Callithrix jacchus: one gene and its partner. The protein of the gene in region 1 binds, or shares a complex with, the protein of each later gene. Links are inferred from orthologs where the notes say so. Each region holds a gene or a part of one and is shown in the gene's direction. Other genes may lie near its edges.

Evidence for each region. Proteins that work in one complex are often made in the same cells at the same time.
Region 2: CASC3 (region 1) and MAGOHB share a complex: the UniProt entries of both Homo sapiens proteins name them as parts of the mRNA splicing-dependent exon junction complex. The link is inferred for Callithrix jacchus from reciprocal best matches to the Homo sapiens genes CASC3 and MAGOHB.

Annotation. Positions count from the first base shown.
Region 1 is NC_133506.1:71,774,529-71,778,177, forward strand, and holds part of CASC3 (protein CASC3), read left to right. Parts: coding exon 1-362; intron 363-3,649. UniProt on the Homo sapiens protein: Required for pre-mRNA splicing as component of the spliceosome. Core component of the splicing-dependent multiprotein exon junction complex (EJC) deposited at splice junctions on mRNAs.
Region 2 is NC_133510.1:12,487,798-12,491,546, forward strand, and holds the start of MAGOHB (protein mago nashi homolog 2), read left to right. Parts: upstream 1-1,273; 5' UTR 1,274-1,350; coding exon 1,351-1,444; intron 1,445-3,749. UniProt on the Homo sapiens protein: Required for pre-mRNA splicing as component of the spliceosome. Plays a redundant role with MAGOH in the exon junction complex and in the nonsense-mediated decay (NMD) pathway.

The DNA of each region.
Region 1 (3,649 bases):
GCCTGGCAGTCCTGAGAAGGAAGAGACAGCCTCAGAGACATTAGCTGCTGCTCCTGATACCACACCACCAGCCCCGGACAGGCCCATTGAGAAGAAATCCTATTCCCGGGCAAGAAGAACCCGAACCAAGGTTGGAGATGCAGTCAAGCTTGCAGAAGAGGTGCCCCCTCCTCCTGAGGGGCTGATTCCAGCACCTCCAGTCCCAGAAACCACCGCAACTCCACCTACTAAGACTGGGAACTGGGAGGCTCCAGTGGATTCCACTACAAGTGGACTTGAACAAGATGTGGCACAACTAAATATAGCAGAACAGAATTGGAGTCCCGGGCAGCCTTCTTTCCTGCAGCCACGGGAACTTCGAGGTAGGTATCATAGGATTGATGGCTAGCTTTTTCCCCTTTGCATCATCAGGTTTAGGGGCATGGGACTTCTGTCTCAGAAATATGGTGTCTGATAAATGTCTACTTCTTTTTTTATTTTTGAGACGGAGTCTCCTGCCTGGCTCCAGGCTGGAGTGCAGTAGCGCAATCTTGGCTCACTGCAACCTCTGCCTCCCAGGTTCATGCCTCAGCCTCCCAAGTAGCTGGGACTATGAGCACATGCCACCATACCCAGCTAATTTTTGTATTTTTAGTAGAGATGGGGTTTCACCATGTTGGCCAGGATGGTCTCGATCTCTTGACCTTGTGATCTGCCCACCTCGGCCTCCAAAGTGCTGGGATTACAGGCATGAACCATCACTCCCCGCCTACTTTTTCATTGACTGAGAGAAAGATGCATTCATAGGTACATTCATGAATTTTGCTCTTGACACCCAGTGTGATCTGATGTGCAGTAGCACAGTCTCAGCTCATTGCAAACTCTGCCTCCCAGCTAATTTTTGTATTTTTAGTAGAGATAGGGTTTCGTCATGTTGGCTAGGCCGGTGTTGCACTACTGACCTCAGGTGATCCACCTGCCTCAGCCTCCCAGAGTGTTGGGATTATAGGCATGAGCCGCCATGGTCAGCGAAAATAGGGTCTTTATCTTCTAGAAATAAGGATAAGAATATTGATTTGTGGCCGGGCGTGGTGGCTCACGCCTATAATCCCAGCACTTTGGGAGGCCGAGGCGGGTGGATCACGAGGTCAAGAGATCGAGACCATCCTGGTCAACGAGGTGAAACCCCGTCTCTACTAAAAATACAAAAAATTAGCTGGGCATGGTGGTGCACGCCTGTAGTCCCAGCTACTCGGGAGACTGAGGCAGGAGAATTGCTTGAACCTAGAAGGTGGAGGTTGCGGTGAGCCGAGATCGTGCCGTCGCACTGCAGTCGGTAACAACAGCGAAACTCCGTCTCAAAAAAAAAGAATATTGATTTGTTTGCTTTTCAGTTCTATGTTGTGGTAAAAGTTTATCAATAAATGTATTCCTAAAGAGTAGAAAATTAAAATGTAGCAGGGCACGGTGGCTCACACCTATTATCCCAGCATTTTAGGAGGCGGAGACGGGTAGATCAGGAGGTCAGGAATTCAAGACCAGCCTGGCCAACATAGTGAAACCCTGTCTCTACTAAAAATATAAAAATTAGCCAGACGTGGTGGCATGCGCCTATAATCCCCATTACTTGGGAGGCTGAGGCAGGAGAATCACTTGAGCCTGTGAGGCAGAAGTTGCAGCGAGCCAAGATTGTACCACTGCATTCCAGCCTGGGTGATAGAGCGAGATTTTATCCCCTGGGGCGGGGTGGGGGGGCGTAGAAAACATACCATTCAGATCTTATCTGCGCTGCTGACAGGGTGTGCCATCACATCCAACTAATTTTTGTATTTTTTGTCGAGATGGGGTTTTACCATGTTGGCCAGGCTGGTCTCAATTTCTTGACCTCATGATCTCCCCACCTCAGTCTCCCAAAGTGCTGGGATTACAGGTGTGAGCCACTGTGCCCAGCCCCGACTAATTTTTTTTTTTTTGAGATGGAGTTTTGCTCTATCTCCAGGCGGAGTGCAGTGGCGTGATCCCGGCTCACTGCTGCTTCCATTTTCCGGTTTCAAGCAATTCTCCTGCCGCAGCCTCCCGAGTAACTGGGACTATAGGCACGTACCACCATACCCAGCTAATTTTTTTTGTATTTTTAGTAGAGATGGGGTTTCACCATGTTGGCCAGGATGGTCTCGATCTCTTGACCTTGTGATCTGTCTGCCTCAACCTCCCAAAGTGTGGCTAATTTAAAAAAAAAAAATTTTGTAGTGATGAGGGTCACACTATGTTGATCTTGCACTCCTGGGCTCAAGTGATCCTCCCAAAGCGCTGGCATTACAGGTAAAAGATACTGCACCTGCCCAGTTGTCATTGAGCCTCCTGAGTACAGGATCCTTTTCTACTCTCTGTAAAAAAAGGGTAGTAGTCAACGTTATTATTTGCACTAATGGTAAATGTTTGAAGGGAGAAATTTATTCAGTTGAATTTTGATCAAGATCTTCTCTAGTATCTTTGAAAGGTAAGCCTCCCTAATTTCCTTAATCTTCTAGAGACAGATCATCCAGTAGAACTTTCTGTAGTGATTGTACTTTTGTGTTGTTATTGTTCTTATTATTTATATATAGAGATACAGATTTTTTTTTTTTTAAGATGGGGTCCCACTTTGTCACCTAGGCTGGAATCTGAAGTACAGTAGCGTGACCTTGGTTCACTGCAACCTCTGCCTCCAGGGCTCAAGCAATCCTCCCATCTCAGCCTCCTCAGTAGCTAGGATCACCTGGCTAAGTTTTTTTTACTTTTTGGGGAAACAAGGTCTCACTGTGTTTCCCAGGCTGGTCTTGAATTCCTGGGCTCAAGCATCCTCCTACTTCTGCCACCCAAAGTGCTGGGATTACAAGCATGAGCCACTGCACCCAGCTGGAATTGAACTTTTAATTTTAATTAATTGAAACTTAACTGACCACATTTGGCTTGTTGGTGTCATACTGGGCAGCATAGTTTTAGAGAGTAGGCCCAACTGTTGCCCATTTTGCCTATTGTAGTTTGTCTTCTTCTAGCCAGACAGATTGAAGGATCTTTTGTTAGTCTGAAATCTAACTTAAATACTGGAACTCCTCATTTGGAGTTGCAGCACACTTCTCACCATTGGAAGACAATCTCTAGAAACATTCCTTTTGTTCTTGAGTCATTTTAGCTAGCCAGAGGAGAATCTTCTCTCAAGCTTCCAACCTACAACAGCTCTGTGAATGGGGTATAACAAGTAGATTTACAAAGCATCCCTCCCTTGTCCAGCTGTTGCTCAGAAACTCTTGAGCTGAGATTTTTCAATATGTCAGATAATGTAATGTGCTAATTATAATCTCCCAGATGCAGAGAACAATTTGATAGGAAAAATTTGAACTTGATTTTCTTCACTGAAGTCATTTTTCATGTTCAAAGGCTTTATTACTATATTAAGATGGCAGACAGTGGGGACAAATTTCTAAATGCTGATGTTGACAGCAGAGATAATTTATAGAGAATTTTATTAGTTAAAAGAAGAAAGCCATTTCCCATGTGGACACTTAAACCTGTCATTTTCAGCCGGGTGTTGTGGCTCACACCTGTAATCCCAGCACTTTGGCAGGCAGATCACGAGATCAAGAGATGAAGACCATCCCGGTCAACATGGCAAAATCGTCTCTACTAA
Region 2 (3,749 bases), on another chromosome or scaffold:
ATTATCTTAAATATATTAAGAGCAATTAGCAATTGCTCCCTTGTGCTGATATTTGCCTTACATATTTGCTTTCTTTTCTAGACTACCAGTGCAAATGGCTCATTTCTAGTTTCAAACTTTTTGTCACATAGGAAATGTTTGTTAAAAGCTGTTTTATAAAATTTAAAGCTTATTTTACATATTATTCTCATTTGATCTCTCAAGAATTCTGTGAATTTGACAAAGTAGATTGCTCTATATGCATAAGACTGATGAACAAACAGGCTTAGAGATAGTGACCTGCCCAAGGTTAGGAAGCTGTAAGTGTTGGGATTGAATCCCAGGTCTTCTCATTACTTTTTACTAAATTCCATTGAAGGTTATCAACCGACAGACAGGATTACTCTGTGTGTTGGTAACAAAAGGGTGATCAATCATATTTGAAAAACAGACTTTAGTCTTTTCCTTTCCTTCAAACCCACCCCACAATGGAGCATTCTTTCATGCCTCCAATTTAATTCCACCTGGCGAGAAACGTGGGCTAAATATCCTTATTATATCTTAAATCAAATTGCCAAAACTCCACAGGCTACTAAAAGTTAACCCTTACTGAATGCATGAAAAACCTTAGAAGTTCTGCTGTTAAAAGCACGGTGACTGTCAGGATTTTTCAGTGTGTGTGTGTTTTAAGACTTCAGCTCTTCCGTATGATGGATTCCTTTGACTTTGTCTCTATTATTATAGACTTGTAGCTGTTATAACTGTCAGGGTTTTTCAGTGTGTACCAGCGTGTCTGTGTGTCTAAGACTTTCAGCTCTTTCGTGTGATAGATTTCTTGGACTTTGTCTCTATTATTATAGGCTTATAGTCCAGGTAACTACCAAGCATTATCCAAAGGGGAAAGCACCCTGTTAGAAACCAAGAAAAACGGTTTATACTCCCAGTCTGCTATTTCGATTCTAAGCTTTATCTTTATTTAGCTCACAGTTAGAGGCGCATGAAGCCACACCCACCTCACAGATGCCAGACTGGGAGACCAGAAAAGTAAGAGCGACTTGCAAACCTTAGCTCTAAATCCATAAAAAAGACTATCATATGCTCAGATTTCTAGTTTTTGCTAATATACTATAATCCTTATTTTGAAAATAGTGTGCTTCCAATCCTCTTAAAGCGTAAGTCACGTCGCTGCGACCCTCCCTTCGGTGACTCCGGCCTCTCAAGCGACACTCGGCCTTCCAGCTTTTCGGCAGGGCTGCACCGAACGAGGAAAAGCGGCGCCTGTGGTGACGCACGTATTCCGCGCAATGACGTCACTGCCAGGCGCCGGGCGATACCTTGTGTCTGTTTTCGGCGGGCTTAGCAGGGACAAAAATGTCTATGGCTAGCGATTTCTATCTGCGCTACTACGTAGGGCACAAGGGCAAGTTTGGGCACGAGTTTCTGGAGTTCGAATTTCGGCCGGACGGTGAGAAGAGGCCCACGGCACGCGGTGCTAGGAAAGGGGAGCGAGACCTAGAGTCCGTGGAGAAGGCGAGGGGAGGCCGGGTGGTGTGGGGTGAGCCGAGCTTCTGTAGGCTTGAGAGTGTGCAGGGGGCGGAGGCCACTGCTTTCCCCGAAGGAAATAGGAGCTTAAGAATATAGGAGGCCCAAGTTGGTTTTATAAAGTAAAGAGAATTGCTATAAATTAAAGCTAATCCTGTCACAAACTGAAAAGTTGAACCTACAGTAATTATAATTTTTTAACAGTGCATCTGAAGGGACTTGAAAGGTTCTGGAGATGGTCGCCATAATTAAAAATGCTAGCATCTTTTTGAAAACACCCCCACCATTGGTGGTCCAATAGATGAATAAAATCTTGCAACCAGTACATTTTGTTCGTTCAGGCTGTGTGTGTTATTTGAAGGGGAGGAGCTCGACGTGTTAACAAATGAGAATAATAATATGTTTTAGGTGCTTAAGTATAATTGTTCACCACAGCATGTATATAGAGTATCAAAAAAGAGGAGAGAGGCAAAGTTCCACAGGAGGGAATCAGGAAAATCTTCCTAGATGACGACACTACTGAGATGAGTCTGGAAATGAGAGACTTGGCCTTTGAGAGAGAAAAAAACCAGACTTCCAGAGCAGAATGAGCCGAGGACCAGGTGAAACTGCTACCCATGTAGTGTGCAACAATTTGTGTTTTCTGACAGCACTATCCTTAGAGAATGTTACATTGATCTTGCCTACCTCCAACAAGAAAGTTCATTTGGAAACATATTTTTTGGGTTTTTTTGAATGCACATTTTGTGCTGGGCAACAAGCAAATACAAAATTTGAAGATACAATAGTAAGACTTAAATTTAACTCAAAGAGATTGGTCTTGGTGGGAGACACAGACGTTTAACTATAAGGCAATATGCATATTAAGTCCTATAAGCATGTTTTGGACAATGTTCTGTGAGAGCAAGAATAGAAAATTACAGGAGGAGTGTATATTAGGAAAAGAGGAGAGTACCAAGCACTTCAGACGGAACTCACGTTAACTACAGTCCTGCAGTTATTATTTTTTTTGAGACAGGGTCTCACTGTGTCACTCCGATCTGAGTGCAGTGGCACAGTCTCAGCTCGCTACAACCTCTGCCTCTCGGGCGCAAGTGATCCTCCCACTTCAGCCTCCCGAGTTGCTGGGAGTAAGGCCCGTGACACCTCTCCTGACTCATTTTTCTTTTCGGTAGAGACAGGTTTTCCCATGTTGCCCAGGCTGGCCTCAAATTCTCGAGGTCAAGTGATTCAGCTGCCCGAAGTCCTGGGATTACACGGATGAGCCACTGCACCCAGCCAGCCCTGCAGTTATTTAGAAACCTTAATCGCTGTATTCAACCTTACTCTCTCCATAAATTCAGCTAAATTTACCTGAATTGATCTTTCTTTAATATTATTTTCAGTTCCTCTGCCTGTGAACAACATCATGCTTATCCCTATCCCTTTTAGCAGGTCACATAAATTAAGTACCTGAATATTATCAGGGAAATTGTATGGTAGAACAATGGTTCTAATCAATGTAGCTGCCACCGCGCCATTCCACATACCTCCATTGGTAATAGTGAGTCCTGAAGACTGGCATCTTTTTTCTTTTTCTTTTCTTTTTTTCTTTTTTGAGACTGGAATCTTGCTCTGTCGCCCAGGCTGGAGTGCAATGGTGTGATCCTGGTTCACTGCAACCTCGGCCTCCTGGGTTCAAGGGATTCTCCTGCCTCAGCCTCCTGAGTAGCTGGGATTGTGGGCATGCGCCACCACATCCAGCTAATTTTTCACCATGTTGGCCAGGCTCGTCTTGAACTGCTGACATCAGGTGATTCACCCACCTCAGCCTCCCAAAGTGCTGGGATTACAGGCATGAGCCACTGTCCCTGGCCATCAAAGACTGGCATTTCCATCATTTTAGAGTATCTGCAGTACATTGTACCTGTGTCTGGGCAACTGACTGGCCATAAGGGGAAGTATACATCAGAGAATACAAAAATCGTGATGGATTAAAATTAAATATAAACCAGCCAACAAACTCACCAACTTTGACCCAGAAGCATTGTTTGTATGCTTCTTAGTCATAATTCTAAAATGTCTGCATTATCATAATTGTATGCATACACTGGAAGGAAAGAAATTAAAACATTTTGTGTAGTGGAGAAAGCATGAGTATTGAAAGAAAGTAGATTTAGAGCTGAATCTTGTGTGACCCTGGTTAAGTTACTTTGTTTTCTCTCCTATGAATACGTGAGATAATAAAA